4 linked regions of the Alligator mississippiensis genome follow. The protein of the gene in region 3 interacts with the protein of the main gene of each other region in a pairwise test. Links are inferred from orthologs where the notes say so. Each region holds a gene or a part of one and is shown on either strand. Other genes may lie near its edges. The genes, in order: EIF1AD, PTMS, SDCBP2 and NPM2.

Evidence for each region.
Region 1: the proteins of SDCBP2 (region 3) and EIF1AD interact in a two-hybrid assay, tested with the Homo sapiens proteins (3 studies listed by BioGRID and IntAct). The two-hybrid records come from large-scale screens. The link is inferred for Alligator mississippiensis from reciprocal best matches to the Homo sapiens genes SDCBP2 and EIF1AD.
Region 2: the proteins of SDCBP2 (region 3) and PTMS interact in a two-hybrid assay, tested with the Homo sapiens proteins (2 studies listed by BioGRID and IntAct). The two-hybrid records come from large-scale screens. The link is inferred for Alligator mississippiensis from reciprocal best matches to the Homo sapiens genes SDCBP2 and PTMS.
Region 4: the proteins of SDCBP2 (region 3) and NPM2 interact in binary tests that used the Homo sapiens proteins (3 or more experiments, as listed by UniProt). The two-hybrid records come from large-scale screens. The link is inferred for Alligator mississippiensis from reciprocal best matches to the Homo sapiens genes SDCBP2 and NPM2.

What each region holds. Positions count from the first base shown.
Region 1 is NC_081838.1:4,500,197-4,507,392, reverse strand, and holds EIF1AD (probable RNA-binding protein EIF1AD), read left to right. Parts: upstream 1-4,193; 5' UTR 4,194-4,196; coding exon of another isoform or gene 4,197-4,283; intron 4,284-4,461; 5' UTR 4,462-4,581; coding exon 4,582-4,586; intron 4,587-4,764; coding exon 4,765-4,870; intron 4,871-5,012; coding exon 5,013-5,121; intron 5,122-5,215; coding exon 5,216-5,324; intron 5,325-6,287; coding exon 6,288-6,338; intron 6,339-6,589; coding exon 6,590-6,725; 3' UTR 6,726-7,058; downstream 7,059-7,196. Other genes in the region: BANF1 (barrier-to-autointegration factor), read right to left, coding at 1,290-1,436, 2,338-2,463.
Region 2 is NC_081824.1:243,755,475-243,762,816, forward strand, and holds the start of PTMS (parathymosin), read left to right. Parts: upstream 1-4,338; 5' UTR 4,339-4,631; coding exon 4,632-4,679; intron 4,680-6,420; coding exon 6,421-6,492; intron 6,493-7,342.
Region 3 is NC_081832.1:2,012,325-2,019,709, forward strand, and holds the start of SDCBP2 (syntenin-2), read right to left. Parts: upstream 3,002-7,385; 5' UTR 2,494-3,001; intron 1-2,493. Other genes in the region: peptidyl-prolyl cis-trans isomerase FKBP1A, read right to left, coding at 6,551-6,679.
Region 4 is NC_081830.1:18,887,980-18,895,728, reverse strand, and holds the start of NPM2 (nucleoplasmin-2), read left to right. Parts: upstream 1-4,748; 5' UTR 4,749-4,830; intron 4,831-5,054; exon of another isoform or gene 5,055-5,256; intron 5,257-5,451; 5' UTR 5,452-5,472; coding exon 5,473-5,536; intron 5,537-6,494; coding exon 6,495-6,580; intron 6,581-6,925; coding exon 6,926-7,045; intron 7,046-7,386; coding exon 7,387-7,480; intron 7,481-7,749. Other genes in the region: protein PBDC1, read right to left, coding at 1,366-1,493, 2,146-2,257, 2,592-2,732, 2,863-2,922, 3,011-3,076, 3,213-3,332. UniProt on the Homo sapiens protein: Core histones chaperone involved in chromatin reprogramming, specially during fertilization and early embryonic development. Probably involved in sperm DNA decondensation during fertilization.

The sequences.
Region 1 (7,196 bases), on a different chromosome or scaffold from region 3:
CTTTGCCATTTAGTACTTTGGAAACCTCTCTGTCCCATGGGCGACTGGTGCCTCCTAATACCAGTGGGGGGGACACCATCAGCCAATTGCTGACCAGGGTGGGGATCCCCCAGCAGCCAACCACCACCACGGGCAAAAGTGCCAGCAGCAAACCCCAACTGTCACTGGCACTTCTCTCGGAGGGGCACGTCTCACCAGTGCTGAGTCCCCCTCAAGTGTTTCTAAACTAAATAGGCTGGTCTGTCCATCATCCATCCACCCCATGCTCCATGCACCCACTCATCCTCTTGTGGGGGGGGATGATGCATACCATATATATTTGCAGGGGATGGATATGGTATAAGTAGAGAAAATATGTGCATCACAAGCAAGGAAATATGGCATATAACCCCCCCCCCCCCCAACATATATGTTATATTCCCCCCTACACACAAATATATACCATATATATATATGTGAGAGAAATATATAAACAAAAAATGTGCATTATAGGCAAGGAAATATGGTGCATATCCCCTCAACCCCTCCAAGTATACACTGTATATCTCTTCCCCTCACAAATATATATGGTCCATGTGCAGGGGGAAGGGGTGGGGGGAGAAGGGAGGACGCATACAATAAATATTTCAAGGAGTGATCAGTATTTATCCCCATTATATATATATGTGTACATATGCATGCGTGTGCAAATGGCATATATACCCCCCAGCCGAGAGCAGATCAGTCCACTTCCACCCTACCAGACCCCACCCCGCAAGGGACCAGCCTAGGGCCCAGAAATATTCACGCAGCCAAACATTTATTGTTCCTTTACAAAAAGACCTTTACAATGATGGTTTTGTCCCTCCCACCACCAAAAAATCCCCCCCTCCTCCATTCCTTCCCCCCTTACCGCCCATGGCCTAAAACAGCCCCAGAGAAAGGGCTAAAAAGTCTCCCCCCAGCATCACCTCTCCGGGAATAAGCTGGGAAAAGATTAAAACTCCCCACATTTAGGCTGGAAGGACACAAAATCCCACTGGGAAAGACATCAGGGCGGGGGAAAATTTACCGCAGCTTCCAGCTGATGGTTGGCGGGGTTGTTTTTCTTCCAGCCCCCTTTTCTAGCTAGAGAGCAAGCTCTTGTGGGGGGGAAAAATGGGTTGGTTTTAGGCACAAAGGGGTGTGATAAGGAGTGAATTTATTCTGGATGTGGTACAAAGGCGATGGTTCCCTCCCGTCCCCGCCCCCCCATGAGAACTACCAGGGCCTGATAGAGCCGGAGGCCAGGAGCCGGCAACATCTGCCCCTCACAAGAAGGCGTCACACCACTCCCGGAGGCAGCCAGAGCAGTCCCGCGATTGCTTCGCGTTGGCCCCGCACGTGTCCTTCAGCCACTCGCGGAAAAGCTCCTCATCCTTCCTCAGCACCAGGAACTGGCCAAGAACCACATAGGCCTGAGAAGGGGGCAACGAAACATGGGAGTTACTGTATTTTCCAACATACAACATGCACTCACCCCCCACCAACTCCAATGGCTGGAAATTGAGGTGTACATATTATAACTGGGGAAAGATGGTAAAGAGAGTGGGGGGGTTGGCTGCTTAAGGCAACTGAAAATGGAGAGGTGCATTATAAGCAGGAATATATGGGAAAACTTTTTTTGCTGCTGGGTGCAGGAGGAGGGGCGCTGGAGGCAGGGCTTCCTAGCTGCTAGCTGAGAACAGTCAAGACCTGGAGGCTATTCTTTGTTAGAGCTTTTAAAAAACAAAAAGTGGGTTATATTCCAGGGTGCATTACGCACAGGAGAGTACAGTACAGTGCTGCAGTGTTCAACCTCCAAGCCAGTGGCTAAATCATGCCTGTGGGGCTCTCCAAGGCTGGGGAAATTTGGCAGCGGGGCAGCAATGGCTACTGCACTGCCACCGCTCCCCGCTGCCCAAATCCTAAGCCCCACATGGCAGTTCAGAGCTGGACCATGTGCCCCCCATGGTCAGATGGAGATCTGGCCATGGGGGCTGGCTCAAAACCAAGTCAGCATGACCCAAGAGACAAGCCCTTCCCCACACATGGCGGGAACACAGCCAGGTTGTGCCCAACCCACTCTGCGTGGCTGGATGGGACCCCCCCACGGCTGTCCTGGGGGCCGAATTGGGTCCATCAGCCAAACGTGGCCCCTGGAGGGAGCGAGTACAGCCCATCCGGCCACTCGGATGGAAAAGCTGAGGAACGCTGCTATACAGAGGAGCAAGAATTTTATCTGAGGGAGCGTTATACATGAGAAATGACGGTACCTGCGCCCTGGAAGCCTACTGAGCCACGAGGCCAGGCACCAGGGCCCTGCCCCACCACACGCACCTTGTCAAAGCCTTTCTCCGCCAGCTTCTTGCCCAGGACCTCGCCAATGCCGGCCAGGCTGCCCACCGGCTTCTCGCCCATGGGCTCGGCCACGAAGTCCCGGTGCTTCTGCGAAGTGGACGACATCTTCCACGCGCCTCGGCCACGCCTGGGGGGAGCGGGGCCGCGTCAGGCTGCCCGTCTCCAGCTCCCACACCCCACCCGGCTGCCGACGGGGCCCCCAGACCCGCCGCGGGGACGTCCCCGGGGTTTGGGATGGAGTGCGGGGGGGCTGCAGGGGGGCGGACGCAGGCCGGAGCCTCGAGCCGCCGGCTGAGGGGACGGGGGCAGAGACGCAGCGACCTCATGACGGCCCCCCACCCTCAGGGAAGACCCCCAGCCTCCAGCCCCGGCAGGAGGACCGAGCGGTCTCCAAACAAGGCCAGAGCCTGGAGCAGCCCCTGCCAAGGCTGGACGGCACCTGCTGCTGCCCGTCAGGGGCGAGGCCGCGTGGGCAGCGCACGGCCGGGGGGGGAGGGGCCCCGCCCCTCCCCCCACACGGGGATACTCCCTCTGCCCTTCCCCCACCCCCAACACATCCCCGGCACCCCTGAAGTGCACCCCGACAGGCCCCGCCTGCGCGCCCGGCCGCGCCCCGCCCCCACGTGGGCGCCGGGTCCCGTCCCGTCCCCTCCCCCAGCCCCTGGCACCAGGCTCGCCCCTCCCCCCCCACAGCCCCTCCCGCTACAAACCCGCCGCCGCCGCCCACGACAGACGCCCCGGCCCCACTCAGCCTCCGCCGTCCCGGTCCCAACGGCCGCTCCCGCCCAGCCGAGCACCCACTACGCCTGCGCGCGCCGCCGCTTCCGGGAAGTGGAAGCTCTGCCCCGCCCCATTGGCGGGAAGGAGCGCGGGGCGGGAGGCGCTCTGGTTCGCTCTATGGTGCGTTCACTCCTCCAAACGTCTCTAACCATAGAGAGGGCGCCGTGAGTCACTCTATGGTCAATTTAGTCCTCCCACCCGCTCCTTCGCCATAGAAAGGGGGCGGGGGGGGGGCTCTGCTTCGCTGTATGGTTAGCTCAGTCCTCCAGGGATCTATAATCATAGAGGGGGGAACGCTGTGGCGCGCTTTAGGGTTTACCCAGTCCTCCCGCCCCTGTAACCATAGAGAGGGGGGCGAGAGGGGCTCACTCTAGGGCAAACTCAGTCCTCCATGTACCACGGGTTAAAGGCTACCCTGTCTGCTCTATCCCAGGATAACCATAGAGACCGGTTAGTGGGCGTTCTGGCTGCTCCCCCCCCGGCCCCCCGCGTCCCAACCATGGAGACGAGAAATGACGCTGGGGGTGCCATAGGGATGACAGCCGGAAGTGGCGTGGGGGCATCCGGAAATTGCCCGGGGGAGGGGAATCGAGGGGACACCGGAAGTGCCGCCAGGGGACGGTGATGGGTGAGACACCCGGAAGTGCCGGTTCCCACGCGGAGGGAGAGGCAGGAGCCGACCGCCCCAGGTGTGTGCGCGGGGGATCCCCGGACCCCTGGGTCCTCCCAGCTCTGCGGATGGGGGCGGGGGGCGGAGGCCTGCGATCTCTCTGGCCCGGCTGAGCCTCCGGCCGCGTTTTCCTCCCGTAGCTCAGCTCCCGGAGACCCCGGCTCCGCCCCGACCTCCCCCCCACAGGTAGGGCCCCATGCCTCTATGCCAGACCTGGGGGGGGAGGGGGGTCACCAGGACTGGGAACCCCGGGGGGGGCCGGGGAGCAGCAGGAAGGCTCCTGGCGCCGTGTATTAGGGGACTTAATGGGGAAACGGAGGCACGGAGGGAAGGAGCCGAGCTGCCCCGGTCTCCAAGTCTCTCCCCTCCCACCGCTCAGGGCTGAGCCATGTCCCAGGCCACCAAGCGGAAGCACGTGGTGAAGGAGGCGCTGGAGGAGCTGGTGGTGCCCACAGCCCAGCAGCAGATCGTGCGGGTGAGTGAGGGGCCCCGTCCCCCCCCACCCAGCACCAGCCACCCCCTGGCCCCGGGTGCAGGGAGTCTCATCCCATGACAACCCTGGAGGCAGCTCAGTGCTGCTCTGTCCCAGGACAAGTGTGGTCAGGGCTGGGGGAGCAGGGCAAGGACCGGCCCCTCTGTCTACTTTCTCCTAGGATAACCAGCACTTGTATTAACCCAGCGCCTGGAAGGAGTCACTGTGGGTTAAGGGCTTCCCTGCCTGTCGGCTGGATGCGCTTATCCCAGAATAAAGACGTGGGCAGGGAAGAGTTGGCATGGGGTAAGGGCTTCCTTGCTTGTGCACTCTGTTTTGGGATAACCTATGGGAAGGAAGGAAGGCGTTATCCCAGGTTAAATGCCAATGCCTTCCTGCCTCTGAGGGAGTGCTGGGCTGCCTATAGAGCAGTTGAAGGAGTTACCGTGGGTTAAGGGCTCCCTTCCTGTCTGCTTTATCCCAGGTCTGATACTAAGGCTGCTTATCCTATGGAAAGGAAGGAGTTACCCCCATTTAAATGCTGCCTTCTCCGTCCGCTCTGTCCCAGAGGAGGGAAGGAATTAACATGGGTCAGGGGCTTCCTTGTCTGTCTGTTCTGTCCCAAGACAACCAACCTTAGCATTAGACCCCTGGGTGAGAAGGAGTTACCCTGGGTTAAAGCCTCCCCTGTCTGTACGCTGCATCCTGGGATAATCCTGGCCCCTCCCCTAGGTTGTGGGCAGCCCCGGGAACAACCTGCACGAGGTGGAGGCACCAGGGGGCGGGCGCTTCCTGGCCAGCATGCCCCCCAAGTTCCGCCACAACCTGTGGATCAAGAGAGGTGAGTGGCTGCAGCACCCCTGGGGGTTGGGGGATCCCCACCACCCACTTCAAGGCAGGCCCCGCCCCCTCACCTGCCCCTCCCACCCTCACAGGTGACTTCCTGCTGGTCGATCCCATCGAGGAGGGCGAGAAGGTGAAGGCCGAGATCAGCTTCGTGCTCTACAAGGACCACATGCGCTACCTGCAGCAGGAGGGGCTCTGGTATGTGGAGAAACCGAGGCATGGGACAGGGCAGTGCCACCCCAACCTTCCCTCCCCTGAAATCGGGAAGATTAGGTCTTTATTTCAGAGTGGAGAAACTGAAGCACAGCAGACAGCAGCTCTGAGACCCCCCACTCCCACCCCCTCCCATGATCCCTCCATGGTAGGCAGTCCGCTTCCTCTCTGTCCCTGTGCTGAACTGGCAGGGAGGATTTAGACTTAGCTTCTAAGTGAGGAAACTGAGGCACAGGATGGTAGGCACCAGCCCCTCCCCCCCCACCACTGAGACAGGGGGAACACCACACTCTTAGCTTCTGATTCTGAGTGGGGAAACTGGGGCACAGAGGTTCAGGCAGCAGCCCTGGGACCACCCCCCACCCAGAACCCTTCCTGGCCATGCAATCGCAACTCCCACTTTCGCTTCAGCCTTAGCTTCGGAGTGGGGAAACTGAGGGATGTGGGAGCAGACACAGCCCTAACACCGCCCCCCCCCAGCCAGGCAAAGCTATCCCCCAACCTTCCCTCCACTGAAGGAGGGGCTCTTAAGTCTTAGCTTCTGAGTGGGGTACCTGAGGCATGGAGCTGCAGGCACATACAGGTTCTCTCCCCTTGCCTTATTGGGTTCAATGGGGCTCAGCTCTTGGGGGTTGGGGGGAGGATCCAGGGCACAGGGAGTTAAGTCCTGGGGAGTGGGGTGGTATGGCCTGGACTTGCCCCACTGGTGTCTTACTCCTTATAGCCCAGAATGGGGGGATGGCAATCAGGGCTGTGCGGGAATATAAGGGGTTAATACCAGCTGGGACTGGAGCAATGGCTGGTAGGGGGAGGGTCTGTACCCCACTAATTTCTGCCCTTGTCACTGGGATGGCTTCTACTGGGACCACTGGTTCCCAGTTGAAGGGAGGGGCTACATCCCAGCCCTCTCTTCCCCCCTACCCCATGTCTTACTATCCCTCCTTGCAGGCCTGAAGCCTTCTCAGATGCCCCCAACAGGCGGCCCAGCCCCCAGAGCAGGTGAGTGGGACCCATTGTACCTGGCCTAGGTGCCCCCCAGAGCTGGCTCTATCAGTTCTACTCAGCTGCTGCTGCTATGTCCCACCCCAGAGCCACCCGCATTCCAGCCCATGACATACCCAGCTGCTGGGCACCTCATCCCAGAGGTAGCTGGGGTTGTGCTGTATCCAGCCCCTAAGGCAGTACTAGGCTGTGGGGTGGTATTGGGGGGGGTGCTCCAGGTGCCTGGGTTCTCACCCTGTCTCTGGCAGGGTGGGGGAGCCGCCAGCCGCCCAGGAGGATGAGGACAGCGACAGCGACTTGTTTGTGAACCCCAATCGGCTCCGTGATGCAGGCACTGACAGCGAGGATGAGGACGAGGATGAGAGTGAGGAAGAGGAGCAGTGACCCCTCCCCACCACTGGGGCTGCTATGGACTCTGCTGGCAGGTGGGAGCCTCCCTGCCCCAGCACAAAAGATGTGGCTGCTTCTGGGGTGGGGCATATCATACAGATATGGCCACCTCTAGGGTGGGTGTTAGCAGCCAAGTGTAATAAGCTGCTGCTGCCTCTGGGCTGGGTGTAACACCCACACCGTAACCTTGGGGATGGGGTGCAAGCAGCTAAGTAGAACAGCAATGGGACCACCACTGGGGCCTTAAATCAATGCAGCTGGTTCTGGGGTTGGGGCTCATCAGCGGCCAAGCATAATGGCCACCTCAATAAAGACACTGGCAACTGCCCCCCTCAGTGGCCGTAAGCTCTGTGTCCCCTCCCCAAATGCCTGGGACCCTGCCACAGCTGGCTCTGGGGTGGGACACACCTCACCTATCCCCCATCCCAGCTTCTCTGCCATCACCCCCCCCCCCGGCTATTTTTT
Region 2 (7,342 bases), on a different chromosome or scaffold from region 3:
ACATAGGGGAAGTAGCACATGGGATGCAGGAGTAACTTGGGTTGCAGCTAGGACTTAGAGAGTCATGGATGGAATACAGGAGACAAGGAAGCCGAGGCAGAACAGGAGAGGGATTGAAAATGGGAAACTGGGAAATCATGGATTAGTCATAGACAACAGACAGGCATGGGGCAATCACAGATGGGATATACTAGGGGAGAGGAAGACGGAGTATGGGGATGTTGCAGACAGAACACTGTAGGAGCAAAACAAGGTGCTGGAGGATCACAGACAAAATGCAGAGGAATCACAGATAGGATCTAGGGTGGTTCTCAACCTTTTTTGTACCAGGACCTATTTGTAAACATCAATGGCTAGTTCTGACCTAGTGCCTCTCACTCCTGATGCACTGCCCTCCACCCCCAGGCCCCAGCCCCCCAGTGTGTGAAGCATGGGCACCCCCAAGCAGCCCCTTGCAGGCTGGAACTCTGCCATCCTGCAAAGGAAAAGCCACGGCTTCCCATGTTTTTCTGCATTAAAGGAGAATCCATTTTTAAAGTTTGTTTATGATACTTTCATTTATTCTTGCGATCCACTTTTGGGTTGAAAAACACTGATCTAGGAGAGTTGAAAACAGGCTTTGGGGGAAACTAGAGATGGGGGCAGTTGCAGATGGGACACATGAATCACAAGGAGTCACAGGAAGAGGGAGGATCCAAAGAAGGTAGATGAGGAGAAATTCCACGTGTGATGCTAGGGGAGTCTAGGACTCAGGATAGTCACAGACAGGACACGGGGGAGTCACACACAGAACATGGAGTAGTTACAGAAGGCATGTGGGGAGGCTGTAAATGGGATGTTGGGACAGCCACAGATGAGGAAAGGGGCAAGTCACAGGTAGGACATGGAAATGGGAAAAGTTAAAAATGGGAAGCAGCATAGAACCCAGGGAGAGGCACAAACCTGACTAAAAGCAAGAGTCACAAGTGAGAGCCTGAAGGGAATAATTCATGGAATGTATATGAAGGACTCACAGACTGTAGGCCAAAGAGTGTCACAGACTTAATATAGAGGGGGAGCACAAATGAAATGCAGAAGGGAGTGAAATGTCACAGCGGAGTTCAAAGGCAGTCACATATCTGATTTAGGAACAGTGGGCATAGGTGGGACATGGAGAAATGAAAACAGGATATGGGGTAGGTGTTGCAGATGAGACATGGGTGGGAAAGGTCAGGCACGGCATAGAGGAGAGGCATAGCTATGATTCAGAAGACGGGAGAGGAACTGAAGGGACAGAGTTGTAGATGGGATGCAGAGGGGAATTACAGATGGGAAATGGCGAGAGGGACATTAATGAAGTGTTGGGGAGGGGGGGTCACAAATTGTGCATATCAGTCTGTGTAGCTGACCAAACGGCTCCATCTTAGCGAGGACAGGACACAATACCCTGATGTAAGCAGGTGCCTCTTTGTGTATCAATATCCGTTTAGGTATCATGCGCCATTCATCAAGACATCTGGGCACAATGACATCACTAACAAAAAGCATGTGCGCCTCTTCCCACTGTCTTCGATGCTGATTTCAATGCAGCTTCCCTTTGTGTCTGAGTATGCGTTTGTGCATGCAGTAGCGTGAGAATGTCTCTGTCTGTATCTCTGTTTGTGTCTGTGTGTTATATTTCTGCATTTGTCTGTGTGTGCTTGCTGCATACAGAGAGGGATCAAGGGGCTGAACAACAAGGTTGCTGGCTGGAGTCTTGTGGTTTGAGCAAGGCACTCCCCCTGCTGGAGGGAAGGGGAGTCGCTGTCTATGAATACTAGGGTGTTCTGGCTTCTGGTGTGCATTTCTCCAGAATCAAGGATGAGTATTTTATTGTGGGAGGGGGATAGGAGTAAGAGGACACTCAGGCAAAGCAAAGTCTTTGAAGTCTGACTGGCAGCTGGACACAGGAGGGGCTGACAGGAAGAGAGTTATGCAAAGGGGAAACAGAAGAAATAGCTATTGCACATCTGGCAAATTTCTTTGTCTGAGTGCCTGCCTTATATTCTTAGTGTGTAAACCCCTTGGGGAAGGGAGTATACATACATGTGTTTATGTGCAGGTGTGCGTGGACTTGTGTAATACGTGGTTCTGTGAGGCATTCATGGGTTACGTATATTCATAACATTACCTTCTAACGTAAAAATACTCAACCTTGGTTCTGTGTGTTTGCATACCTGAGCTGGTAGAGGCTGCATTACATTATGGATACCTTCTAACATAGTGAGTTAGCAAAGCATAGAGCCCCTAAAATCTGTCCCCTTTGCTCCCTGTGTACAACACCCCGCGCATATCCCCATGCATGCGCATATGCTGGTCAATATACCTGGGTTTTGATGTGCATTGTGTATGGGTTCTATGACTGTTTGGATGTGCAATGTGCATGCTTGTTCTCCAGCTAGGGACAGCCCTTGTGACATTCAGCCAGATGAAGCTAACAAGAGAGGCAAGAAGTGCCTGTTATGCGGAGGCAGGGACATTTATTTCATTAGGACAGAGTTTAGAAGCCAACAACTCCTCTCAAACAACCGTCAGAGGGGAACAATTTTCCCTGGGGAGGTTTAGGACCACATCAGCTGACCCCAGTGCCTGTAGAAGCAGAGCGCTTGTGGAGGAAGGCTCTGCATCTCCCTCCCTGCTATGCCATCCCCCAGCAGGGGGGCTAGAATTGAAGTGGCAACCGTGCATTCCTCCGAGCCTGACATCTGAACTTGCAGTCTAGAGCAGCAGTTCCCAAACTTAGACAGATTGCACACCGCCAATTTAAAACTATACAACCTTAAGTACCACCAGCAAATGTTTCCAGTTCAACCTTAAGAACCACCAGCAGATTTCTGTTATATAAAGTGATTATAAATCTGTTAACACGTACCACTGAGAGGTTGGTACCTGTACCACAGGCTGGGAACCGCTGGTCTAGACAGGAGAGCAGCCAGTGCAACTCTCTCCGATAGACAGCAGGTGTCAGTGTTGCACACCTAATCCTGAGCTCCTTTGTTTCACCCCTGCTCAGCCTTGTTCTGTTGAGCTGCCTGCTGGATGAACCAGAAACGCGATTGACCTGAATCTCCCCGGAAGCCTCGGGGATTCGGTGCAGCTGCTGCCTGTGGCTTCCCAGGGACAGAGGGTGGGCTGGGCTCATAGCTGCAGACCCGAGGTGGAGCCCTCTCCAAGGGCCAGCGGGAACGGAGACCGCGGCGGGCCCTTTGTGGCGGCGACTGCATCACCTCCTTTGTCTGGGGCCAGGGCCTGGTGGGCCTCTCGCTATTCCTGCAATATAAGGAGATGTGAAATGAATGGAGGCGGGAGCGCTGCTCATAATGTGGGGAGAGGGATACCTGGTCCCTCTTGCTCCTCTCGCACAAGCAGTGATGGGGCAGTAGGGCTGTTCCCCATCCCGCCACCAGCTGGCCTCACCTCGCACAGCACAGGCGGGCGGGGGTGACCCCGCAGTGAAGGACACCAGGGGTCCGAGCGGAGCAAAGGGCCCGCCCCCGGCCACACTGGTGCCCAGGCCCAGCCGCTCTGCCACCAGGGCCCAGGCCCTCACGCACTTGCCCCTCGGCCCCACGTGGCGCAAGCCCCTCCCCGGTTGCCACGGGAACCGCCCCTCCCTCCAGCTGGTCTCGTTCTGAGACCCGTCTCCTTCAGCCTTTTCCCTCATTGCGTAATTTTTTTTCCCCCCAACGGCCAATGAGCGCCCTGTTGCCAGGCGGACGGCTCATTTGAATGGCCCAATCAGCTGCCAGCCCGTTGCTCCCTCCTTATATGGGGAATTCGGAGCCTGCACAGGAGCGCCACCCGGACCGCGGACCAGAGCGCGGGAAAAAATACCGCCCCCCTGGTTCCCGCGTTGGGTCCGGCCCCGGACGTGACTGCCGGGCGCGGCCGGGCGCGGGGCCAGCGGGGCCGCAGCCCGAGTGGAAAATTCCAGGGAGGAGGGAGTAGCAGCCCGCGGCCCCAAGCCGGGCCCTGGAGCGCCGCCACCGCCGCCTGCCCCATGCGCGCAGCTGGCCTGGCACGTGGCGGAGCTGCCACGTGCCCCCACCCCGGGGCGCTGCAGGGAAGGGAAGGCCCCGGGCAAGCGTGCGGCCCGGGGGGGTCGGTGCCGTCTGCCGAGCCCCAACCGCGTGTCTGGCCCCGTGCGGGAGAGCTGGCCGCTGCGAGGGGTGCTGGGCCCAGGCCAGAGCCAGCGGCTGACGGCCCCCTCCCGCCGCGCGCTCGTGTGTCCCGGCGCCCCGCTCCGGGGCAGGGAAAGCAGCGGGGCCAAGGTCTCGAGCGGGCTGGCGGGCAGGGGCGCCAGGCGCTGCCCGCCGGCTGATTTGCCCGGCGCCGCGCCAGCCCCGGCGGGCACGGGGAGGCGCGCTCCGCTCCACTCCCTCCCTCTTCCCTCCTCCTCCTCCCGGCACCGCTCCCTCCCCCGGTCCCTCCTTCTCTCGTCACCGGCCGGGCTATAAATCCCCTTCCCGGGCATCGTCCCCCCCGCGCGGGCGGGCGACCCTGGCACTCTCGGCCCCCGCTGTAGCCGTGCCCTTCGCCTCGCGGGACGCCCGCGCCCCTGTGCCGCCGCCGCCGCCCGCTCAGCCCGGGGAGGGGCATCGCGGCTGCCCGCCATGTCGGACAAGCACGCCGAGGAGGCGCCGCCGGAGCTGAGTGCCAAGGTGAGCCCCGGCGGCGCGGGGCGGCGTGCGTGCCCGCTTCGCGCCTGCACCTGCCCCGCCCGCGGCCGGGAGCGGGTGAGACGCGCCGCGCCCAGCCCGCCCCGCCGGGGAGGGGGCACGCGCTGCCCTGCCACCCGCCCTCGCCTGCCCCCCGCCGTGCCGGGGTGCGAAGGATGAGGTGCGCGGGGTGTGTGCGCGCTGCTGGAGAAACATCCCCGCTCTTTGAACTGTTTTTCTGGGAACCGGCGGGGGAGGGAGAGGGGAGGGGCGCGGGGCAGAGCGGATGCAGGGAGCAGATGGGGCCATTGTGCCTGACAGACGTTCTCCCGCCGGCGCGGGACAAAGGCGGGGCCCGCCTGGGGGCGGGCGGGAAAGGCCCTGGGGAACGTGTGTCACCCGCTCGGGTCTTTCTTCCTAGCCCGAGTAGGTCAGGGGCTGAGTTGCTCTGCTCTCCCCCAAAACGCTGCCCCGTGTGTGTGGACTCCTTGCTGGCCTGGAGCATGCTCCCCAAGGACAGTGGAGCTTGGGAAGGTGTTTTCCCAACGGAGAAAACCTGGGGTCCCCACGTTCCGAGGCGGGGACAGGGCTGCGGGGCTTGCTTTGCGGGGGGGGGGATGCTCCCAGGGCTGGGGAATGAGATGAGGGTAGAGGGGGCTTTCCCGGTCAGACAGAGGACACTAGAGCTGATCCTGCCCTCCCCTCTGCGAGGGACACTGCCCTGAACTTGGTACTGGAGCAAGGGTTTTTCTGTGCCGGGGGCGGGGAAGTTTCTCTGGCAAAGACCACACGGCTGGTGACAGGAATGGCCTGATAGGACCAGCCCACTACGTCCTGCGGCCGGAGTCGGGGCTCTGGCCGTGGGCAGCCTGGGGAGGCGGCGGGACCCCCCTGGTGGACAGTTATGGCATCGGTTCCAACAGGGGTTGCCGTTTTCCTCCTAATGGTTGGCCTATTTGTCCAGCCCTGGAATTTGTGTTTTATTACGACCATCTTAAAGTTTCTCCTGTCTAAATATAACTCTTAGATTTTTGTTGTTTTCCGTATGTGTCTGATCCACTTTAAAAAATCTCTTGGTCTCTGTGTAGTATCCTATGGGGATTAGGTCTTACTTGCCAATTGTGGGTTCTACGTGAAACATTTCCATTCCTCAGGTTTAAATCTGCTGCTTTTCCTTTTCCTTGTCTGTCCCTCTGTCCAATGCCCTAATTGTTATTTTTTGTTTGTTTGTTTACTTCTTTTATTTTGCCATGTCTTCTCTTGTTCCTCATTGCTTTCAACTTTAACAGTCTCATCCTTTCACTCTCTTTGCCACTGTGGGCTTAGGCACATTGGTGTAACCAAGCAGCACACATAATGACATACAGCCTTATGCTGTTGTAATATACTTGAATCCAGTGTAGAATTATCTTGGGGGGAAAAATCAGGAGTAAAAAAATGCTGCCGTAAGTTATAGTGGCTTCAGTATTGTGTAGTAGAAAGCTACGTTTCTTATCCCTTTGCTATGAACAGACTACTGCTGCTCTCCTTCCACCTGGTGGTGAAGTGCAGGCAGCAACCTTGGGATAAACTGGTGGCTTTGGATACTTGAATATAAGTATATTCCCTGAAGCATCTTGGTGGAACCACACTCCTTGGTGTAATTTCCATTGGCATACACAACTGATATAAATAATATTTGTGCCAATGTGCTATGTGTCCAGGTATCAAATCTTGGAATGATTTTTTTTCATTCTATATTTAGGACCTGAAAGAAAAGAAGGAAAAACTGGAGGTGAAATCTATTCACAAAGAAAAGAAGAAAGAAGTAGTAGAGGTGAGGCCAAATGTAGTCTCTCTTTGGGATGCATGTTTGGAGGAGGATTTTGGCAGTAAGAGAGGCAGTTGGCATGGGGAGGGGTAGCTTGGGACAGAAAGAAGGAATATAGGAGAAGGGCAGGCTACTGCAGTTTAGGAGGGAGGCAGGTGGCAGCTGAATGCCAGTTAGGTGAGGGAGTTTTGGAGATGGGATGCATGGTTAGTACAAACCAGGAGGAGGAGAAGGACCATCAGAGATATAGGCCAGGGAGCAAGGAGAAGGTAGATGGCAGAAAAGGGTGCGGGTGAACAGGAGATGGTATGGAGGAAGAAGGGGGAGTGCAGAGCCTGGTCCAGGTTGGGGAAATAGCAGATTGGAAAAGGAAAAAGGTGCAAGGGAACTACCTTGTAAAGCACTAATTTACAACCTCAAGGCACCTGTTAGAAAAAAACAGCTCTTACCTTCTGTTGTTTCTTGACTGTGGGGAGCAATTAGAGAGAAATTCTTCTGTTGCAAGGAACTCAGAAAAAAAATGGGTCAAAATGTTTTTGACACTATGGATTCCTATTTGAAATCTCTGGGTTTATCTTGTGAATCATGCCTAGGTGTTTGCGCACCTAACAGTGATAATATTGAGCAGGACCCTTAAAAGGATCTCATGGCAACCCAGGGTGCCATGGCACCCTGGTTGAGAATCACTACTGTAGAGACTGAGAAGGAAGAAGAACAGTTTGGGGATTTCAGGAGGGTTTCAGGCAGTAGGGTGGTCTGTGTAATAATAGAGCGAGACCAGAAGTTATGTGGGTGATACAGTTCTGTGGGAATCTAGGGGGTTTTAGTGCTAAGGGAGCCAGATGACAGAGGATGC
Region 3 (7,385 bases):
CTGTGTGCGTGCACGCCTGCAGGTGTGCATCTGGGTGGAAGGGGTGGGGGTCTGCACATGTCTGGACCTGGGGCTGGTGTGTGCACACGCATGTATTCCAGCCACAGCGGCTTTCCAGGGGTGCGTGGGAGGGGGCTGGGCTCTGCTGGGGGGTGGGCATTGGGCACCGAGCCCCCGGGGGGCTGGCACGCCCCACAGAGGCTGTTTTACACGCCCGAGCACAGAGCCTGCATGCCACGGGGGTTAGCCACTCTGCGGCTCTGCCTCCTCACACCCAGTCGTCACACACGCACAGCTCTCATACACACCACTCTCTTGCACACACTCTGATCTCTCACACACACCTCTCATATCTGTCACACACACATGCACGTCTCTCACATACATCTCCATCCCACACGTCTCACACAACACAGCTCTCTCCCTCACACACGCCTCTCACACACATACACATCGCTCTCACATGCATGCGCACACACGTCTCATCTCGCACACCGACACACACGTCTCTCACAGCACCCACAGATCTCTCGCAGACATGCATCTAGCTCTTGCTCTCACACATGCACACACACGCACGCACGCACACGCTCCCCACGTGCCGCTCCCAAGGTGACTCGGGCTCCGTGCTGCGCCGTGCCCTGCGCGGCTGCTGGCCTTGCTGCGCAGGTGTTGGGTGCCGGTGATGCCGTGCACGCCCGTGGCTTGGCGCAGCGTGACTCAGCCCGGCGTGGCACTGCAGGGTGCCCCTAGTCCCGGCACAGGCTCCTACCCAGGACAGGCCCCCCGGCCGTGCCCCGCAGCCTCGGCCGATGCCGCAGGCAGTGCATTGTTCCCCGAGCCGGGCTGGCACCCAGCCCCGGGGCCACGACCCATGCCCCACCCCTGGCACTGGCTGGCATGAGTGCTCCATGAACGGCAGCCTCTGTGCCCCTGTCACCGGCTAAGCCCAGGTGCCGGGCCTGCTCCCCGCAGCTGTGGGGCTCCCGGGCCGGGAAAGCACCCGCTCAAGCCCGAGTGTCTGTAACCTCTGGGCACCAGGGTCCGCACGCCGGGGAGGGAGCCTGGACCCCGCGCAGCCAGGCAGCCCCCTCCCCTGCCTTGCACCCGCCACACGGCAGGCCCACGGCGGGCACCACGCTCAGCCCCCATCACAGCACACGCTCTAGGCACAGATCTGCCCGTGTGCCCACATTGCAGGGACTGCAGACCCCACACCCGCAGGCTTTGCACCCTCTAGTCGGAGTGACCGTGCCAGCACCGAGCTGCAGACAGGCCACGTGCTTGGAGATTCATCCTGTGGAGCGGGTGGGGAGGTTGCAGCCAGGCCCAGCTACCTTGGGTGCTTGGCAGTGGCTCCCTTGAAGGCCACGAGGTCCGAGCCCAGCGTGGCTGGCAACATCTCGCTAGGGCAGCAGAGCGGGGCAGTTACAGCCGGGAACTTGAGAGCAGCTAAGTGACATGACCAGGGCCCCACAGGGCCCCTGTGGCAGAGCAGGAAGCGGAGCGTCCCAGGTGACACCCTCACTCAAACCACGGTGTGACAGGGGGACACGCCGCGACGCTGCCCCGTTCACAGCGCGGTGGCATGGCACGTCCCGGTCGGACAACTCAGAGACGTGGCAGCGCCGCGGGCTGGGGGCTACTCCAGCAGCCGGGGCAGGGTGCTGAGCTCGGCCTGGGGAGCTGCGGACCTGACCCTGCAGCCCGCTCTGCAGGCAAAGCCACCCGGGCTGCGGAGGGGAGATGCCTCCTCCCCTCCCCATGGCTCCTCCGCTTCCCTCGGGTCCGTCTGGGGCACCTGGGCCAGGCTCCACCGCCGTACGCAGGCGCAGGCCACGACCGATCGCAGACTCATGGAGGGGGGTTGGCAGGGACCTCGGGGGTCACATCTAGTCCAACCCCTGCTCCAAGCAGGACCAGCCCCAACTCCATCATCCCAGCCAGGGCTTTGTCTGCCAAGGTCTTAAACACCTCCGAGGATGGAGACTGCACCACCGCTCTGCGTAACCCCTCCAGTGACCCTCCTCATGAGAGTTTCTCCTAATATCCAACCTGAGCCCATTGCTCCTTGTCCTGTATCTGCCCCCACCGAGCACAGCCCAGCTCCGTCCTCTTTGCAGCCCCCTGCCCCAAGGGCACAAGGATGCTGGGAGGGACCTTGGCTTTTGGCACCTCCAGAGCCCACAAAACAGAAAGCGCCATCCTTGCAGGCATGGGACGAGCCTTCGTCTGTGGGTTCGCCCTTCCCCAGAGCCTCCCCTGCGGCCCGGGGCCGTCCAAGGCCCGGCCTGATGTCAGCCCGGGCTAGTCGGAGCAAAACAAGCCCCAGCCTCCCCGTCGCGGGCTGTGGTTTCGGGCGAGGCACGGAGCAAGGCACGGCAAGCCCAGCTCCCGGCACTGCTCAGCACCCCCGGCCCGCAGCGCCCACCCACGGGTGACACGCTCCTTGTGCCCGGGCTGCAAACAGCAACCCCCAAGCACGCTGCTCACCTTGCAAACAGGCTTCCCTTCCCCGGGACGCTCTGCCAGCCCGGGTCAAAGCCCACTGGCTTTATACCAGCAGGGCTGGCAGCCTGGGAGGGGCCCGTCTCCATCAGCTGACTGGCAGTCACCGGCCGGGAATGCAGGAGGCAAGCAGGTGACAGGTGACAGAGGGAGCGCGGCCTGGCGAGGGGGCCTAGGACGTGCCCCGAGCCAGGGGTGCACCAGGCGCTCTGCTTGGGGGCACGGAGCGGGTCTGATCCAGAGGATCTATTTGCAAGGGCTGTTGCTGCTCCCTGCAGCCCCCTGCCAGGTCTCCAGTGCTGCAGCCGGGTCCTGCTGCCCTTCTCCCCCCGCCGGTGCCCGAGCTGGCTGCAGAGGGAAGCACGAGCCCCCGCCAGCCCCGGTGCTCGACAGGCTCCTGCCACGGCCGGCGGGCGCTTCTGCACCCAGCGCACAGTGATGTCACGCTCCCCTCGGCGGGGACGTGCCGTCCCGGCGGCTCAGCTGTGATGCTTGCCGTTGCCATGGCACCGGCCTCCTCCACGCATGCGACACGCGCACGGCGTGGGAAGCACGCCCACGTCAGAGCCGCGGGGACAGTGACTCAGGGACGCCTGAGTCAGCAGCAAGCCTAGGCCCTGCATGCCTGACGCTTTGGTGGATGCTCTAACCACTGAGCAATGCTGCAGCCAGGGCACGGGTCCGAGCAGGTGCACGAAGCCCCGTCGCGCGGAGCTGCTCAGGCCCCTCCACCCCCGTCACCGGCCCCCGGGCACGCGGCCGTGCCCGCTGCGACGCCAGGGCAGGACAGGAGTGCGGGCAATAGGGCAGGAGGAGGAAGAGGAAGCAGAGCTCCCGAAACTGGCAACCGAGTGACCTTCGCCCTCTGCGGCAGGCAAGGCCCATGGCACCGCGCGCAGAAGGCGCCCGGGCTCCAGCTGCAGGCGAGGCCCCGGTGCGGATGCTCCCCCGACAGGGTTACCCCCATCCCGGAGCATCGTGCACCGGTGCCCAGTATCCTCAACCGCTCCGCGCGGAGCTGGACGCAGTCCAGACCCGCCTCCCCCTCCCGAAACTACCAGCAGCCCCACCTCTGCCCCGGAGCTGGGAGCGGAGAAACCGGTTGCTCCGATTGCAAAACTCTGCGGCGGAGGCCGAGAGAGATGACGCGGGAGGAACGGCCCTTGCCTGCTGCCTGGGGCCAAGCCCCGGGGAAGCCCGGCTGCGTCTCTGGGGCAGCGCTGGCTGGGGCAGGAGGTGGGTCCTTGGGGGAAAGCACCTGGGAGGAGTTGCCCGGTGGCAGGCACCCACCTGAGGATCTCTGCATGCCAACAACACCCAGGGTGCAACACCTCCCCCCGGTCTCATTGGCTGAGGGAGCTGTCGATGAGCCCGCCCCTGGTGCCGGCATCCAGGTGAGCTCACCTGTGCAGAATGCAACCTGCAGCCCCGCCAGCCGTTGCCCGAGCGCTCGGTATTTCCCTGTTGATGGCGTTGCCAAAGCAGAGGGCACCTTAGCAATCGTCACACCTGACGCTGAGCACGCAGGCCCTGCCCGGCCGCCTCCGCAGCGCCGTCTGGGATCCTGAGCCAGCAGCAGAGCGGGGTGCCAGGGGCAAGGGCAGCAGCACAGAGACTTCATGGCAAAGCGCTCCAAGGCAGCGCTTCCAGGTGGGCAGGGGGTAGGAGCCGACCCCAGGCACCTGCAATGCTGCTCCCACCCAAGACACGGCACAGGTGCTGCGGCCGACTGCCACTGGCCGAAGGTGGGATCTTTTGGGGAGCAAACGCCCCCCCCCCCGCCTGTCCCCTCCGCTCCCACACGTGCAGCAGTGGCCGGGAGTAAACCTGACAGGCGCTCGCCGCGGTGCCACCCACACCCGTGCCTAGCGAGGGCTGGGGGAGCCGCAGGCAGCAAGCGATGACTCACGCAGCATTTTAAAGCCGGAACAAAAAGCCCCTCGGATGCGAGCCGGTCTTGTGGGCATCAAAGCCGTGGCAGGTGGGGTGGGGGGAGCACGAGACCTGGGCACATGCACTGCCCCACAGGCCAGCAGCAGGCTCACCATCGCTGCACATCCCTTGGCAGGAGGAGACCAGGCTGACCAGCTTGTTTCCCAGACCCGCTTTCCCCCGAGCCCAGACGTAACCTCAGCCGCCCTCCTGCACGATCAGCTCCCCTTGCAGAGCAAACCCGGGCCCCAGCCCAGCTCCACACGCATGAAAAATATCAAGCTCCCTGGTCCCCCTGCGGCCCTGCTGACCCACGCAGGGAGACAGCGCGGAGGATGCAGGCAGAGCTGGGGAGAGCCTCGCTCCCTGCCCAGCTCTCCCAAAGCAAGCAGTGTGGCCAGGCCCCTGCAATACGCCCGGCCGGGGGAAGTTTCTGCCCAGGCATCGGGTGCTGGTTACCTGCTGCCGCGGCGGAGGAGATGCAGACGGCGTTCTGAAAGATGAGCTTTTTAAGAGGTTTAGGGCAGTGCAATGACAGCTGGAGGGACAGGCAGTCTCCCAGCACAACTGGGACGAATCCAGACTCTTGCTAAGGGAGACCAGGCAAGCTGCCCCCTCCAGAAGCCCGCAGGCCGCAAGAGCCGGTGCCCAGACTGGCAGCCCCGGGCAGCGCGCCAAGGGCACAGCAGCAGAGAGGCGAGTGACAAACCTGCGAGAGGCAGCGTTGAGAAAAGCCAGCATAAAGCACTTTTATTGCAATCATAAAACTCAATACTCTGATGTGGCGGTGGAGGAGGAAGCGATGGCAGCCATTCCTCTTACCAAATCACGACGCGGGGCAGAGGGAAGGGAAGGGAGCCGAAGTGACGCCAGCGGAGGTGGAGCCGTGCACCGAACGGGAGGCCGCGGCACGCGGTGATGACCAGCATCAGGTTTGGCGCGGGAGCGCTGGGGTCTCGTCATCCCGGCGACGGCGGGGGCGCCAGCTTTCCGCCGCGGGCTCGTTCCTATCGGTGCCCCCCCAGGAAACAGCCCCTTCCGTCCACGTACAAAAGGCCCCTTGCGATGCTGCAGCCTATGTAGTGGTGGAGCACGGATGGCGAAAGGAAAAGAGACCCTCAAAATCCAGGAGGAGGAAGCGGGGGGAGGAAAACAACCACATGCTGGTAAAGGCAGCAGGCAGCAAAGGGGGCAGGATACTGCCCGCTCTGGGCACCGCCAAGGGGGAAGTGCTGGCGTGGTGGCACCACCCTGCCGGGAAGGGAGCAGGAAGCTACTTGTTCCCGTGTCTCAGTCCCAGGCAGGGAAGTAACACCGCCAGCCAAGGACCCCTTTGCTCCCCAGAGTCAGTCAGCCCTTGACAGCTCCTCGCTCTGCTATGGCTTTTGCAACGGCAGCGGCAATCTCTTTGTCATACACAACAGATATCTGCATCCAAAAAAAAAAACAGAACAAAACCAGCTCCCGACATTTCCTTCGCTCCAACGATCCCTAGCACAGGTCGCCCCAGGGCGCACTAAAGCCGGCAACACAACCAGATGAAGAGCTCGCCCAAAAGGGGGGGGGGGGGGAAACAAAAAAAACAAAACCAGAAGAAAAACCCCTAAAAGTTGAGGTTTACGGCGTATAGTTTAAAAGACATAAAAACACAATACAAGGAGGAAGAGTCAGAGGCAAAGCTGAGTGACCAAACACATTCAATCAAGGTACAGGGTTATACAACGAGTGTAGTGGAATATCAGGAAAAGCTCCGTACAAAGTCATGTGCATTCTTCTTGAAGCTGAGATTCTGGATTCCTCCATGTGCCAAACCTGGGAGAGAAGGAGGAGGGAGGGGGGAAAGATGGTGCTGAGCCGATGCCACCTGCGGACAGCTGGCAATGGGGTGCCAGCGGCCTGCCCCTTACGGAGGGACGCGACGCCCCACCTGCTCAGCACGAGGGGCTGGCTGCAGCCGGATCCGCAGGGTGCATCGTTGCCATCACCCCCCTTGCATCTCGAGTCTCAGCCCAATTGCCCCGCACCCGGGACCTGACACCTGCCTCCCAGGACCCTGCCCCAGAGCCCCCCACCTACCCAAGGACAGGGAGCGGGGGCTGGGCGCCTCCTGTCATTCCAATTTCATAAGCTCCACGTCGAAGATTAGGGTGGCGTTGGGCGGGATGATGCCGGGGTGGCCGGTGGAGCCGTAGGCGTAGTCCGGAGAGATGGTCATCTTCGCTCGCTGGCCCACGCTCATCTGCGGGAGACACAGAGCACAGCTGGCGGAGGCAGCGCGGGGACACGGCACGCCAGTCTGAGCCCGGCTGTGCCCGCTGGCTCAAACCTGCCTTGCGGAGAAGCCTCCGGCGCCGTGCAGAGCCGGGCTTCGGGGCAATGCTGCAGCACGCAGCTGGCACAGCCTGCCCTGCTGCGCCAGGCCACGCTCAGCCCACACGCCCTCTGGGGCAGGTGCTTTGGGCACCACGCTGAGCACAGCAGGGCCCGTGCCCACAAAGCTTGACAGTAGTGCAAGCAAACACCAGACAGAGAACCACCGCAGCGCCGGCCGGGGACGCGACAGACGGCCGAGCTGCAGGAGATGCTGGAGGAAGCGGCTGTCCCCCCAGACGCAGGGCAGCCCGTCCCTGGGAGTGACCAGCTGGCCACACAGCGGGGTTTTCCAAGTCTCCACTCCTGCCTCAGGTATGTGCGATTAGGGATAATTAACAGCTAGTTAATTAGCAGTAAATGCTCCCTAGTGCAACCCTTGCCATGCTGCACCTTGTCCCAGGCTGTCCCTGCAGACATGGGTGTGTTCTCACGCACCCAGGTGCCACCTTCTTCTTGCCAAGGACTCGGGAAAAGGGGTGGCACTGGGGACTGCTGCCCTGTAGCCCAGCTAAGAGATCCGTGCCAAGACCCCTCTGCCTCAGCCCAAGCGGGCACCTCCTCCCTCAGCAGCA
Region 4 (7,749 bases), on a different chromosome or scaffold from region 3:
GCAGTGTTATTGGCAGACAAGGTTCTTGGGGTACATGTGGTATCTTCTTATTAGACCAACTAAATATTTGGAAAAATTGTTCTTTGCAAACTTTCAGGCACAGGGAGTCTGCATGGGTGTTACTGGCAGGACAGGTTTGTATTCAAGACTTCGTTGGACAGTGCCATCAGGCCTAGGTGCTTGGCCTGTGATGGCAGATTATTCAGCTGTGCCTCACAGCTTCCCTGTCTTGGAGGTATCAGTTGATTATCTGAAATATTTTAATAAGCTCTGTTCCTTAACACTAAAGAGCATGAACCCATACCTGTTGAACTGCTTTGAAACTATGGTTTGAACTTAAACCAGAACCCAGAAAGAATCTCTGCAGCTGCTTTGACAGTAGAGTAATTTGGCTTCATTTTCATTTTGAACGAGCAACCCTGCAGCTTGCCTCCAGCTCAAGGGCATTCTTCCCAGTTCACATACCAGAGCAGAGGCCACCTTTTTCTACTGTTGGCAAGGACTTGAAGTAACTGCACTCACGCAGAACAGAGCTCTGCTGCTACTGCTAGCTCTTCTGCATCAGCAGCCCCTTCAAATCTGAAGGGCTTTGCCAGTGGATTTAATATTCAGGGTCTTCTGGTTAGGGATGCCTCTGACCATGAACTAGATGCTGATGAAACCTGTACAGATTCACTTTTTATTGAGCCTCAGGGAGGCAGGGGACAAAAGGCCTGAACTGATATGCAAACACAGGGCCCTAAGTTCTTTAGCCCACTCCTTTCCTTTGAAAGACACAAGCCAGCAGCAGCTACTGTGTCCAGGGAGTATCTTATCCCCTTATTGCTTTCATCTATAATGAAGAAAAGGTGGGTGGGGGGGAAAGGTAGGAAAAAATACTGCCCTAACAGAACTTGTCTAGTAAAGAAAGAATGCCCAGAATTGCAACTGGAGATGATATGGACACTTGTGGTTTATTGTTTCAAACTGATTAACTTGCAGTATATCCCAGTGACACGGGAGGCTTGTCAAGTCTAGGAAGAACCACACCAGAGAAGAGCAGTGCTCCAGGGAGATGCAATACCTTGTGAGAAGTTCTTCAGCTGTTTTCAGATTTAAGGCTGCTGATTCCCAGGTTACTGGTGCAGGGTGCCAGGGGATGCTATTCTGTGCTTCCACCATCCCACTGTATGTAGCAAGATTTAAGTCACAACCATTTATTGACAGGGCACTTCAGGTCACTTGAGCACCATAAAAGCACAGAGCAAAAGCTGATCTCTAAGTCAGGTTCCCCTTCAGTTGCTGCGTGTTCGTGTAGCTTCAGAGCAACTGTTAACACTCCTGCAGCAGGGAGTGGCCCCATCCAGTGTACAGAAGGGGTTTGTTCTACCCATGGTCACAAGCTGCCTTCACTGCAGCAGCCATCTTCCTCTGGGTGGCTGAGTTGTAGATGACGCTGTTGTAACCCTCTCTGTTTCGAGCAATTTCAATGGCAAAAAATTGGATCCTGGTGGCTAAAAGGAGGAGAAAATAAACATATCTTTATAGCAGCTCTGTGGTGTAAGGTATCTTCCCCTCCCAACAGCTCTTCCAAGCTTCTACTACTGCCCCCTTCATGCACAGACATGCAGCCTTTTTAATCCAGAAGGGAACTGCTCCAAGACTTAGGGCTCTAGGTGTGGCAGGGCACAGCTTCTTCTGCAACAGTTACCCCTTAAAATAGCACTTTTTGTGGGTTAACCAGCAGAGCAGACAGTCTATAACTTGGTGCTGAGTCTAGGTTTGGTTCAGTATCTGAGGAACAACTTGGTTTTTGTGTGTTGACATGACAATTTTTTTCTTAAAGACAAGTCAAATCAGCTAAATCAATTCCAGATCTCAGAGTCATTCAAGAACCATATGTGGCCCTACTACAGGCAAGCATCCTCCACCCATGCCCGAGGCTTCAGATGTTTCCAAAACCTTCGGTGGGCATCCTACATGCAGGCCCAAGTCTGGAGGCTTAGAGTTCGGATACCCCCGAGTGTTGCCTGCCCTCAGCCATATGGCCACAGGAGCAAGCTAGGGACAACCTGGCACTCTATTTAGAAGTGCCACGTAGAAATCTGCGCCCAGTTTCTGCATGGGCAGGCCTTCCTCTCAGGTTGTACGCGGCGGTTTGCTCACCAAATATCGTATTCTCTTCCGTGTAGTCTTTGCTGCAGTCCAGCCGCAGCAGGGTGCCGTAGTTGAAGTCTTCGACGACCCCCTCAAACTGCATGCAAAACGGACGCCACTTCTAGAGACAGAAGAGCCGGGGCTGTAAACTTCTTCCGGGCAGCCGGATGAAGCAGGGCCCATTCTCGGCCCTCAGATCCCATGTCCCCGAACCTGCCTGCTGCTCACGATGCCTCGCCCGCATTCGGGAGAACAACAAGCATGCCGGCGAAGCCAGAAAGCACCCACAGTCGGGAATCCCTTCACGGCAGACGTGTCTCCAGCGTGGCTTTGCGTCGTCCCACGCCACGACCGCTGTGGCGCTTCCCCCCCTTGAGCCTTCTCCCTCCTTCCAGCCCAAGACTTTCCCCTGGGGCGACGCCGCGCCCCCGTTGCAGCTTGCCCAGAGCACCAACCTCCTTGGCTGGCTCCGATTTGAGCTCCTCCGGCTCCAACACGTCGATCCTGAGGCGCCCGAAGCGCTCCCGGAAGGCAGCGTAGATCTCCTCATCCACCTTGGTCAGCTTCAGAAACGTCGGGTCCACCGAGGAAATGAGCTGTTGGGGGGTGGGGAAAGGGGAGAAAACCCGGGGCCGGGCTCCTGGGTCCCGACAGCTGCGAGCAGCAGCGCGCTCGACCCCCCCCCCCGGCGGGAAGCAGGCAGCCCGGCCCCGGCCCCGCACTCACGTTGAAGTAGACCTCGGCGTGCTGCGCCGCCTTCATGGCCCACATCATCTCCACGCCGGGCTGCGGGGACGGGACGGGACGGGACAGGGGGTGAGGGGGTGCGGCCTCCTCGGCCCCGGCCCCGACCCACCCCCGCCTGGCTACTCACGTCGTTGCCGTAGGCCTCGGCCGGCAGGGACAGCGCGCGGGCGGCGGCCGCGGCCTCGCCGGGGCCCTGCGGGGAACAAGACACGGCGGCTCAGGCGGGCCCGGGCGGCGCCGCCCCGCAGCCCCCTCCCCCAGCCCCGCCGGGCCTCACCAGGGCGCCCAGGCCGCCGCCGGCAGCCGCCATGTTGCCTGTGACCCCTGACCTTTGCCCCTTGTGCTCCGGGGGTTCGCTTCCGGGCGCGCCGGAAGCTGCCTGTGCCGGCGTTCCAGGGGAGGGGAGGGGGTGCGCATGCGCTGCGCCCCTGGGTCGTGCTGCCCCGCATGCACCGTACTGCACACAGCTCCCTCGCCTCATTGCAGGCTCGCAATCTACATTGCAAATCATTGCGTGGCTCCTACATTGTGCTGCACGGCTCCCACACTGCGCTGCATGGCTCCCACATCTCATTGCACAGCTCCCACACTGCACTGCATGGCTCCCAAACCACTGCAGGGCTCCCACATTGCACTACACAGCTCCTAAATCGCTGCACAGATCCCATGCCTGATTGCATGACTCACACGCTGTACTCCACAGTTCCCACACGGCACTGCAGGGCTCCCGCACTCTACTGCATGGCTCCCAAACTGCATTGCATTGCTCCCATGCTGCACTGGATGGTTCCCAAACCACTGCAAGTCTCCCACACTGCGCTGCGTAGCTCCCAAACCACTGCACGGCTCCCACGCCTCATTGCATCGCCCCCATGCTACGCTGCTGCACTGCGGGGCTCCCAAACCACTGCAGGGCTCCCATGCCTCATTGTACAGCTGCTGTGCTGCACTGCACAGCTCCCACGCTGCACTGTAGGGCTCCCAAAAACTACTGTGCAGTTCTCACACCGCACTGCATGGCTGCCAAACCACACTGCACAAGCCCAGGCCGTGCCCCAGCCAGGCCCTGTTCCGGGGGTTGCCCCACAACCCTTGGTCCCTGCCCCAGCCCCGTTCTCAACGAGAGCACAGTTGACACGTGTATGTGCAAACAAAACCACAAGGCCCCCGGAGCCGGCCACGCCAGGGGATTGTGGTCATTGCCGTTTGTTTGTGGAATGGCAGGGTTACAACTGAGATTGTTGCTCCAGGGTCTGTATGGAGGTGTCCGGCCCTGCTTGGTTTAAAGTCCAACTAGACGGACAGCCGGGAGGGGGGGGGAAGGAAACTGAGGCATAGAGGAAGGAACTGAATGACTCCAGACTGTCCAGCAGCTCAGTGGCAGAGCCAAAGATGGCACTCAAGGCTCCTGAGTCCCAGTTCGGTGCCTAATCGATTCCACTGCACAGACCAAGCCCGTCAGAGCTGCAGACAGCTCCACTGCCTGCATATATCTGACTCTTTTCTAAGCTAGACATATAAGTGCTGGGATGCCCTGGGCACCCCTGGGAGGATTTTGCATAGCCCTACCTTTCAGGTTTCTGTATTCTCAAACCTTGGTTCCCAGACTTAATGGGGGGTTTCTCTACCCATTTGTCTTGGAATAGCCGAACCTTGGATCTGTGGGTTTAACTTCACATTTGTACTACAGAAAGTGCTGGATGATAGCAATCACGACTGTGTTTCCACTGGCCAAATTTCCTCCCTTTGAAGGAATCTCCTGTCTTTGAAGAGAAAGGGCTGTTTCCCTTTAAGACCAAATTTCAGCAAGGTGAGGCTAATTGAATGAATGGTTGAGCGGCTCACCTGCTCTGCCTTTATAAGATGCCTGGTCCAGAGGATGGTTGTATGCAGGGTTGGTTAGGTCTTTTATGTAGGGTTGTTTTTTTATATGAGCTGCTTGCTGGGGTAGGTGGTTGTATTCATAGCCCCTTTCTGTGTAGAGGGGTTTTTCTTTGGTGGTTTGTATGTGGTTTTATGTTGGAGAAGTGAGTTGTTAAGCATAAATATCAGTAAACTCTGCTTTTCCCCTTTAAAGCATTTTCTGATCATTTGTATGACTTGAGTCCTTAAGTGAGAAGGATGCATGAGGTTGGTTACTCCATGTTGTTCCCCAAAATGCTTTTTTACAGGGGCTGTTCTGCTGGTTTCTTCAGCAGAGATGTGGTCAGAGGCAGTAGGTAACAGTAACTCAGAAAGCCACTTACATAGGACAAAGATTGAAACTGGACAATGGGAGCTTTGTGTTCCTGAGCTCTCAAACTGCAGCTCTAATATTTGGGGTGAAGGAAGGATAGTAGGTAGCATCTAAGAGCAATCACAGGAGGGACACTTGTGAGTAACAACTTCATGTTCTCCTTGTTTTGTGCGGAGGAGGAAAATCCAGCTTCCTAACTGAACTAAACCAGGAGATGACCCCCCCCCCCCCCCCACCTTCATAGATGCAATTGCTGCTCTGTCATTGCAAAGCCTTTCCAGCTGAATAGAGACTCCTTTAAGTAATGGTGCCTTTTTTTTTTCTTTTCATAGAAAAGGTAGATTCTGGAAACAATGGCTCTTACCAACAGTATCAACAGTGACAGTAAATTGGAGAAGCCCATATCTCTGATTTGGGGTAAGAAGCTGCTTGCTTTGCACCTGAGTGTCTGAGAAGCGCTTGGTGATCAGTGCTCAGGTTATTTCTGCTGTCTCCTTAACACTACTTAAAGCTGTTGCTCCCAGTCCTCTCTCCCATAACGGCCTTCTCTGTTCCAGAAATCTGCTGGGGGGGTTGGATTTTTTTTTTTTCTTTTGTGGTTGTTTTTGGTCTTGTTTTTTGTTCAGATCTTCCCTACTTGCAACCTCCACTTACTCCTATAAAGAAAGGCTTCAGCAATAATGAGGTGTCTCCATGGAGAGTCTTCTTGAGAGCTAAATCTTGGTGGCTTCTGAGTCGTTCAGGTCTTGGCTAAAACAAAGTGCAGCCTCTGAGGTGTCTAGTATCTTTTGCTTCTCAGAGGTGCAACAAATCCTTGGAGTGAGATGGGGCTAAGGGCCTGCTCCCTGGAGCACGCTGCGTTGCCAGTCGTGCTATGCTGAGTCCACCTTCAGCTGAGGTGTAGATGCTCAGCTTGGTCTGAGGCAAGGCTAGCTGGAGTGCATCCAATTGCTCTTTTTCTCTTGTCTCCTTCCTTCCCCCACAAAATGGATGTGTTTCAGCGTCTCCTTGGCTCATGTTGGCCAATGGCAGCGGCAGTGCAAACAATATCTTTGCTTCTAATGCTGTCTACCAGGCAGGAACATAAGTGAAAAGACCCTTTGAGGGGCAGGGTTTCTTGCCTCCTAGACTGAGAAGCCATTTGGAGATTGGGGTGGGGGGGAATACAGAGACACTTTGCAGTTCCCAACACTTCTCCTTTCCTAGTCCCCTTTGCTGGGGGGGGGATAGCGAGCACAACCTGTTGAGACATCCCACCCTTGATAGAAGCCTGTGCTGTGAAACTCACGCTGAGCATGTGATGCTGGAGGTGGGGTGAGCTGCCTTTATGATCTGATTTCTTTTTTTAATCGCTGATCTCTGCCCCCTTCCACAGGCTGCGAACTGAGCGCAGAGAATACAACCTGCACCTTCAAGATGCCAGATGACTGGGCCTACGAGCAGCAACTGGCCTTGCGGATGGTAGGTACCTAGCCCATCCTTTCCCACAGAGGATGTTTGGGACAGGGCCCTTGTGACTGGCTTTGAAGTGGGGGTGGGAGGTGTGTATGGGATGGGAGCCTGTCTTGTAAAAAGCCAGTTGCAGAATAGGGTGAAGCAGAGGGTCTGGCTTCTCCAATACCATGCTTCTGGACTGCAAGTGGAGTCTTCTCATTGTCAATGTGCCCGTGAGAGTACAAGTCTCTTCTCACCAGGCAGTGAAGGCAGCCCATTTGGCCTTGGGCATGTCAAGTTGGGGGATACTCTGAGCAGAGGCTGTCACCACTGATAACACAGTGCTAAAGGCTTGTTCTTCTCTCTCCAAAGATCTGCGTGGGGGAGAAAACCAATGATGAGCTCAACATTGTAGAGATCATCCCTCCAGAGGACAGCCAGGACCCAAGCCCTGTAGTCCTAGCTGCCTTGAAGCCTTCTGTGCTGCCAATGGTGAGAGGCGGGGGTGTGGGCTGGCATTTACACAGCCTGGAAGCTGGGTCAGAATCGAGCATCTAGATGACTCCTGGAGATGGAGAGCAGGTCACTGATAAGCCCAGGTCTGAGCAAGCTGAAGTGCTAACTTGGTGTGTAGGCATGCTGAAATGTGGAGGGAACAGCCCTTTGAGGAGGATAGCACATGAGGGGTGAGCACTGCCATGCAGTCTTCAGCTTTTTGGGACTTGATACAAAGTCCCATTAGGCCTTCAAAGCCAACTAGTCTCCAACCATAGCTTTTCAGGGCATAACCTGCCATCAGCCCACCCTCACGGCATCGCTGCTGTCTCTTCCAGGCCCCCATGGTGGGAGTTGAGCTGACGCCTCCTGTCACCTTCCGGCTGAGAGCTGGCTCTGGCCCAGTCTACATCACTGGACAGCACATTAATTGTAAGTGTGGGTGCAGCGGGGTTTAGTCTATCCAATACTGACATTAGGGCAATGCAGTGTGTGTTGGTTCTGGTGACTGCAATACTTGCTGGGTCTCCTCTGCTTCAACCAAATGAGAGAATACTATAGCCAGCTGGCCACTGCCACCTCTGCATGATGGGAATGCAGTAAAGCCCCCACCTGTGTACACTACACCCTGCTGCTGGAGCAGGGACTTTTGTGCTGCTCGCATGTCTGGACCATAAACTGTCCTCCCTTCCTGGGAGGGG